Linked DNA regions of Rattus norvegicus. The protein of the gene in region 1 purifies or fractionates together with the protein of each later gene. This does not show direct contact. Links are inferred from orthologs where the notes say so. Each region holds a gene or a part of one and is shown in the gene's direction. Other genes may lie near its edges. The genes, in order: Ociad1 and Slc6a8.

The links.
Region 2: the proteins of Ociad1 (region 1) and Slc6a8 purify together in Homo sapiens (co-immunoprecipitation; 3 studies listed by BioGRID and IntAct, with this or other methods). This does not show direct contact. The link is inferred for Rattus norvegicus from reciprocal best matches to the Homo sapiens genes OCIAD1 and SLC6A8.

Annotation. Positions count from the first base shown.
Region 1 is NC_086032.1:35,266,358-35,270,868, reverse strand, and holds the start of Ociad1 (OCIA domain-containing protein 1), read left to right. Parts: upstream 1-1,594; 5' UTR 1,595-1,750; intron 1,751-3,081; 5' UTR 3,082-3,086; coding exon 3,087-3,144; intron 3,145-3,549; coding exon 3,550-3,630; intron 3,631-4,511. UniProt on the Homo sapiens protein: Maintains stem cell potency. Increases STAT3 phosphorylation and controls ERK phosphorylation. May act as a scaffold, increasing STAT3 recruitment onto endosomes. Involved in integrin-mediated cancer cell adhesion and colony formation in ovarian cancer.
Region 2 is NC_086039.1:156,542,123-156,545,835, forward strand, and holds the end of Slc6a8 (sodium- and chloride-dependent creatine transporter 1), read left to right. Parts: intron 1-325; coding exon 326-438; intron 439-562; coding exon 563-700; intron 701-778; coding exon 779-881; intron 882-967; coding exon 968-1,068; intron 1,069-1,148; coding exon 1,149-1,319; intron 1,320-1,637; coding exon 1,638-1,778; 3' UTR 1,779-3,199; downstream 3,200-3,713. UniProt on the Homo sapiens protein: Creatine:sodium symporter which mediates the uptake of creatine. Plays an important role in supplying creatine to the brain via the blood-brain barrier.

The DNA of each region.
Region 1 (4,511 bases):
CTTCTGTCTTCTAATTTCCTTTTATATGTTTTTATATTATAAAAATATACCCAACATATTCATTAAAGGATTTAATATTGTTGACTTTATACTATATGAGAATCAATTTGATGCTAGAAAAGTATGGTTCTTTTCTTTCACGGACCTTTTATTTCTGTGAGGGGGTGGGGAAAGATAGAGACAGGACACACAAATAATTGTTTTAGGTCACAGAAAATGCTATGAAAAGAAAAAGCAAGACAACACACAAGGTGACTAGAGTGTCACTTTAATTGGGCAGGGAGGAAAGCATCTTGGATGTGGTAACATCAACATACCTTGAGGGGAAAAAAGAAACTTCGAAGGTCCTAGACTCAGAATAACTCACCACAGGAAAACGAACATTTATACCGATTGTCTTAGAACATGTGAGAGTACAAATACTTGTAAAGCTGTTCAATATGACCTCAGTGAGAGAAAGAAACGGTGACAACAAAATACCACAATAGCCAGAGCTACCATTCGGTGCTAGAAGTTCATGAACACCGAGGAACAGGACTATCTGGTGCAGTTCAGGTTTCACAAAGGAAGTGGTACAAGCACAGGGTTTGCAAACAGTGCAATCTACAACTCTGTGCCTGGTCCTGGTCTGGACAGTACAACGGACAGTTGAATGCAAACAAAACAGGGTGTTCCTCATTAGTGTGGGGTTCAAGAAGCATAGAGGCCTAGCCATGACTCTGAATTCATGCTTTACATGACTTTCTCTATTACATATGTGTACAGACAAGTTTGTGGACGCTGTAGAGCCAGTGGGGAAAAAAGTATGAAATAAGGAATGGTGAGAAATCTGACGACTATAGGAGTTCAGAACTAGGGTGGGCTATCGCTGTTCAGAGGGTATCAACGATAAACTTTCAGTAATTGGTTCAGCATACGCACTCAATAAACGTGCCTAGGATCAGTGTAAGGAGTGGCAGCCTGATCTCTGATATGAAAAGCTGGTCTCCTAGCGTTAAAATATAGTTTGCTGTTAATACAGTCTGAAAGAGAGCCTAAACTCCTTTTCAGACTTGTTTTAATCCAAAACTTTCATAGTTTTCACATTATTTCTGTTATTCAGATGAGTAAATTCTGAGTCTCCGCGTTGGAGTGTATCCTGACTCCGGTTTTAGAATCAATCAGACACTAGACTGGAGGTTCTGACAGTTAACTACGCGTTCACGCTTAAAATTCACTACCTAGCCTAGAGGCTTAAAGCATACGATAATTTATGTAGAGCTTAAAATTAGGCAAGTCCAAGGAAAGTCATGGGATAAGGAGGGGACTCGAGGATGGAGGGGGTTCCAAAATGTTTTTGAACAGTCAGTCATAGGAGTATGTCACAAGAGCATCGAACCTAAGGGTGAGCGGAGGGGCAGGCCATAACTCGCGCAGCCGCAGTGCAGCTCTGGAGCGCCGTGGCTGGGAGGAGGGGCGTGGGGCGTGAAAGGAGGCGGAACTAATTGGACGGGGCGTGGCCGACACACGAGTATTGAGAGACTGCCCAGCGGCAGTGCCCCAGAGCTGTCTAACATCATTTCCTGTCGATGGTACTGCTTCCGGGTCTCGGTCTGCTGGCGCTTGTGTCTAGGTGACATCTTGGCGAGCCCTTTGAAGCTGCCCTCTTTCCCCTCCCCGTTTCCCGCGTTGTCCTCCGTGCCTGTCTTTGGGGTCCTCTCCTGGCCTGTACCCCGGGTCTTGCTCCCCGCGTTGCCGCCTCCTTCGTGAGGTAGGTGTGATGGCGCAGCCAGTTTCAGCTTTCTGCCAGTCTCCCACACTCGCCCGCAGCCGCCATTTTCCTGCCTGGAGGTGTCCGGTCGCACTGCGGGCCTTGGCTCGGCTGCACGGCCGGTGACTCGCACCCGGGACCTGCATGGAGGGGTGGGGAAAGCCGCGGTGGCCGAGGTGGGGTGGCAGGTGCTGGGCAGGAGTGCTGGGGTCTACGGCCCCAGCTTCTCTTGAGCCTTGTCCTTTGTAATTACTAGCTTTGAGCTGTAGTGTTCAGACAGGTCGCACTGCCCTCCAGCCTCCTTGGGGACGATGAGGTTTAATTTTTTTCCAGTAGGGTTTTGCAGTTTAAGAAGCTTCCTCTGAGTGCTTTATCTACCCAGAGTTCAGTTTACCTTTTACGAAACCTTTTTCTCTAAGGGATCTAGGTATGCAGTAGGTGATGATTTTAGTCACTAAACGAATTACAGAAAGATGCTTTGCTGTCGGCAGCGTGTAATTCATGCGGCAATGTGTTTTAACGAAGAAATCCTCCTTATCTGAAATGCTGACGTCTAAGTTCAGAGGAAGATGGATGAATATCAATACATGATCTTGGATTGCTCTGGGGTTTTAAATTTTTATTTATTTAAGTTATTTGAAGATTATTTGGCCTGGTAGGGAAAGTTTGGAAGACTTTGCCGTTAGAGTAGCTACCTGCAGAGAATGTGACGTCATTATTTTTGACTGCTGAGTTATGAGAGACAATGTACTTTTGTTTTCATTGGAAACCTAGAAGTGACTTGAGGGTTTTTTCCCCAATCATTTGGACATAGTTGTGGTTTTTTGTTTTGTTTTGTTTTTTAATCAAGGTACAAAATAATGTGAAATAACCTAGCCTTGGAAGGGAAATTTTGCCTGTTGTTTTTATATACCCGCTTTTCTATTAAAGGGGCGAATGTGAATAATTAGTTCAAATAATATGTTTATGACCCTTTTTCATTCGGTTATTTTCTTATGTAGTTGAAATGTAAAGGTCAGGGCCTGAAGAAAGAATTCAGCAGTTAGGAGCACTGGCTCTTCCCGAGTACCTGGCTTCTGTTCCCAGTACCCACATGTCCTATCACAGTGTCACAACCATCTGCAACTCCAGGTCATGGGGATCCCGTGCCATTCGATCTCCTCAGGCACCAGGCATATCTGTGGCATGCAAGCAGAACACCGTGCATGTAAAATAAGATTAATTTAAGAGTGTTTAATGTTAAGTAAATATTTATTAATTTACAGATAGACCGGTTATGTATATTTATACTGATACTTTGTAATATTTGGTTATAAATGTTTCTGATACAGGAACTATGAATGGGAGGGCAGATTTTCGGGAGCCGAATGCACAAGTGTCAAGACCAATTCCTGGTGACTATCATATTAAGTATTTACAGTTGGTAACCCTTTCTGTGTAGAGAAATTTTAATTGCTTGAGTAATTGAGTAACGGTAGAAATTGGGCTGGTTTTATAGGTGTGATATCCTTATAGTCATACACAGAGCTTAAATGTTCTCTTGTTACAGTCTCCAAATTTCTTATCATCTGAACAAGGGTGGGGGTTCATTTTACATATTTTCATTTAGCACCGTGTCCAGCCTGTCTGACTAGCAGGTAGTAAGAATAAATTTTGTAGGAAATCAAAATTGATTTTTAAAAAGTGACAAGCCAGTTGTCTCATGGTTTTATTATTATTTTTTTAATGTTTTTGTTACTAGTAGACAAAGCTAACTTTTCAGGCTTTTAAGAAAATGACTTCCAATTTTTTTCTAAAAGACATAGGGGGCGGCTACATTCCAACAGAAGAAGAGTGGAGGCTCTTTGCAGAGTGCCATGAAGAGTGCTTCTGGTTCAGATGTGAGTTTTCCTGCTAAGGACTTTAAAGAATATGCATGGGTGTTTTTGTGGTATCTGTGTATGTGCACAGGCATAGAGAAAAACGGGCGGTGAGAAATGGTTTCTCTCTGTAGCCCTGGCTGTCCTGAAACTCGATCTGTAGACTAGGCTGGCCTCAACTTACAGAGACCCTCCTGCCTCTGCCTCCCGAGTGCTGGGATTAAAGGCTTGCCCCACCACCTGGCTCCGTCTTAATTTTTGAGACAGGTTTTTTCACTGAACCTGGAGTTCCACCATTTGGCTAAATTGGCCAGCCAGTGAGCCCTCAGGATCTGCCTGTCTCTGCCTCTCAGTACTGGGGTGCCCAGCCCTGACTCCTTAAATAAATATTAGGGATCAGAACTCAGATCCTGGGGTTTGCAATTCATGCACTTTACCACTGAACCATCTCTCAGCCCTGGTTCATCATTTTTCTAATTAGCATAATTCCATCCAAAACTTTCACTTACAAACTTGACTTAAGTTCACGTTTGAAGTTATAACTTATTATAGACTACATCGGGACACTTTTGGGATAGTGTGGTTATTACTAATAGAGATTCAGGAAATTGAATAGCAATTTTGTCAGTAGCAAAATAGCATGAAAATAATTTAGTAGAGTTGTTAAGTACCCTCACTTTAGAGATGAAAGGACTAAGGTTTAGAGGTATTAAATGTGTCTACTTGTGTTACACAGTCATTGTGCTTTGAAGTCAGGTGTCTGAACCAGACTTGGTTGGGTTTTAACTCTTACATTTAATGACTGTCATAACTAGTGCTGCCTTTGTTGCCTTTCATTGTAGTGAGGAGTTACTCACTACAATTTCGCTTTCTGACTACCAACCCTAAGATCAGAATTTTGT
Region 2 (3,713 bases), on another chromosome or scaffold:
GCAGGGTATATCTTCATGTTCATTGAGTGCTATAGATAGGAATAAAAGGAGATGGTCCTTCAGCTCTGTTGTGTCACCCCAGGACAACCAGCAACTGCTGGTTTTTCAGGAGTCTTGCTAATACAGGTTGGGGCTGCTAGGGACCACAGCCTTTTAGAACTCTGGCATGAGACCCTGTAGGACCTCAATGGGCTTAGCCATGCTGAGGCACAAATAGTCCTCAGATTTTTATTATTTTATCACCTGGGGGATGGGTGTGACCTTAGGCATCAGGGTACTCAGGATGGTGCTGAGGGCCAGTCTCACCCTGCATCTTTGCACTCAGGGCCTGGTCTAGCCTTCATTGCCTACCCACGGGCTGTCACACTGATGCCTGTGGCCCCACTCTGGGCTGCCTTGTTCTTCTTCATGCTGCTGCTGCTCGGTCTGGACAGCCAGGTTTGCAGGAGCTCTATCTAGGGCAGGAATGGGGTAGGGGCTGGTGGTGGTCAGGGGATTTGGCACATTGGGCAAGTGGTGCACGGGGACATGGGGACCTGGGCCTGAACTGCCCTGGCCACAGTTTGTAGGTGTGGAGGGCTTCATCACTGGGCTCCTGGATCTCCTCCCGGCCTCCTACTACTTCCGTTTTCAAAGGGAGATCTCCGTGGCCCTCTGTTGTGCCCTCTGCTTTGTCATCGATCTCTCCATGGTGACTGATGTAAGTGGGGGTAAGGTGGGTTACTGTCAGTTTCCACCCATGGACCATCATCTTCCCTGACCTGACTCTGTTCCTCAGGGCGGGATGTACGTCTTCCAGCTGTTTGACTACTACTCAGCTAGTGGCACTACCCTGCTTTGGCAAGCCTTTTGGGAGTGTGTGGTGGTGGCTTGGGTTTATGGTAGGTCAAAATGAAGGGCTGGGTTAGAAATTGTGGGTGGAATGAGGATGGATGGTCTCCAACTCTAGCCTTCCTGTCTGTTCCAGGAGCTGACCGCTTCATGGACGATATTGCCTGTATGATTGGGTACCGACCTTGCCCTTGGATGAAATGGTGCTGGTCCTTCTTCACCCCACTGGTCTGCATGGTAAGGCTAGGGAAGTGGGCAAGTGGTGTGGGGTAGTGGGGTAGTGGGGCCCCAGTGACTGCAGGCATCTGTGTCCATAGGGCATCTTCATCTTCAATGTTGTGTACTACAAGCCACTGGTCTACAACAATACCTACGTGTACCCATGGTGGGGTGAAGCTATGGGCTGGGCCTTTGCACTCTCTTCTATGCTCTGTGTGCCCCTCCACCTCCTGGGCTGTCTCCTCAGGGCAAAAGGAACCATGGCAGAGGTAAGGTTCCTTCCTCTTTCCTCAAAGGAACAGTCCATCACTCGGAAGCATGGCCAGCTCACATTGGTGGGGGCAATAGGTGGAAGGAAAGTTGACCCATTATGGCCTCATGTGGTAGCAAGGAAGCAAGACCCACATCTCACTTTCCTGGCTCCACACAAGGACTACTTAACCCTGCTTCCCATTACAGGGAGCAGGGCCTGAAAAGGGTGCCCATAGGGAAGCACACCTGTCTCAGTGGCAGATAGTAGGAGCTAGAGAGGTGGAAGCAGTTGCATGTGACCCATGGGAAGTTCAGCATGCCCTCCTCTCCCACAGCGATGGCAGCACCTGACCCAGCCTATCTGGGGCCTCCATCACTTGGAATACAGAGCTCAGGATGCAGATGTCAGGGGCCTGACCACCCTGACTCCCGTGTCCGAGAGCAGCAAGGTCGTCGTGGTGGAGAGTGTCATGTGACAGGCACCCCCAGCTCACATCACCAGCTCATCCTTTGGTAGCCATAGCAGCCCCAGCTTTAGCCCCCACCCATCCCTCGGGGGCTTGCCTTTCCTTGACAGTTTGGGGATCTGCCTGGGGAAAGGGAGGAAGCACCATGAGTGCTAACAAAAACAACTTTTTCCATTTTTAATAAAACGCCAAAAACATCACAACCCACCAAAAATAGATGCCTCTCCTCCCCACCCCACAACTACGCTGGTATTTTCGTTGCTTCCAGTCCCCACCTCCTTTCCTTCTTCCCAGTGCCCAGGACCCATCTCCTAGCCTTGCCAAGCCCATCTGCCTGCCTCCCAAGCTCTGCTCTGTAACACACCTTTGCCCTAGAACCAACAGTGGCAGCTTGGGGAACAGGAGAGGAGGGAAAATAACAGTAGGACAGGAGGGGAGGCAAGAGAGGGACAGTGGAACCAAGGTGAATATTTCAGCTCAATTAGAACTCTTCCCGCCCCTATTCTAGAAGCTAGAGAGCCAGTCAGCAATGGAACCTTGTGTTCCTGCGCCAATTGCCACCAATATTAATTGTGTGAGCTTGGGTCTGAGTGCACGTCTGTCTCTGTGTGATGTGTGTGTGTGTGTGTGTGTGTGTGTGTGTGTGTGTGTGTGTGTGTGTGTGTGTGTGTAGATCTCTTATCTCTTAGTGAAGGTGAATACCAGAAGTAAACAGAGCCTCTGGGCAAAGGAGGCTTATATTTTGCACATTTTATAAGAAAAAAAAACTTGAGAGTGAGACTTCTGCTTGTATATTTCTAAAAAGCCCCCACCATCCCCCATTTCCACTCCTTTCCTTGACATCCCCACCTTCTCTGACCCTAGCCAAGGAGTGTGAATTTATAGACTTAATTTTCATAGGCAAAACAAAAGCTTCAGGCTGTTGAATATGTGAGTCTGTTTGTGTGGATGTTCTGTATGGTCTCCAGCCAGAGACTGGAGTAGGAAGGTGGGAGCCTCAATGGTGTCCCCACACTGTTCCTTTGCCTCTAAGTCTGTGGGGTAGAAGGCTGTAACATTATCCCAGGGAATCTGGGTCTGCTCACCTGACATGCTCAGACTTGCCCACACCCAGCTCCCTGGGCTGGGCATGATTGCAGGGATTTCCCATGGACATAGCCCAGGGAAGGGATCCTGGGTATGGCTTCCACTTCCAAGCTAAAGGCTGATGTGCTTTCGACATCTCAAGTCTTCCGTGTAGCAGCTTAAACCCACATCTGTGTCCCATCAAGCCTGAAACAGCCAAGTAGCCATTAGAAAGGCTTTCTTCACACAGAGCTGGACTAAGCCAGGGAGGTGGGGCTGGGTAAGGGTGCAAGCCTTTGGGGACATTCTTACTGTGCTAAAAAAGCCACTGCAAACATAGCAATAAAAACACTTCATTTTCCAAAGTTGGCTCCTGTTTCTGCTTCTCTGGAAGAGGAATGAGGTGGGGATGCAGGTGTGGGAACCAGATGAAATGCTCAAAGCCAAGTCCCAATTGTCCCCATCACAGGCCCTGGCAGCACCAGGCTAGCATTCACTAAAGCCCATTCTGAGCGATTCTGCACCTAGTAGCATGTCAGAAACTGAAGCAGGGAAGGAAGCCTCAAGCCCCTAGACTGAAGAGCATGGGGGTGACAGTAAGTTGAATAGGAACAAATGCAGCAGAGAGAGTCTGTAGCTATAAGTTATTCCAAGAATTTTTCTAAACCAAGCATGGTGGCTCATGCCTATAAGCCCCAAACTTGAGATATTGAGGCAGGTGAATCAAGAGAGTATGTTTCTGAGCAAGTAGCCTTCCAAGATCTAAAAGTAAAGGGTACACTAGGATCACAGATAGTAAGAGGTAAGCTGGGGCAATGATCCAGGGACTAGGCATCAGCACCTGGACCTGTCTGGTGGCAATGGAGTTGGGTGGGGGAG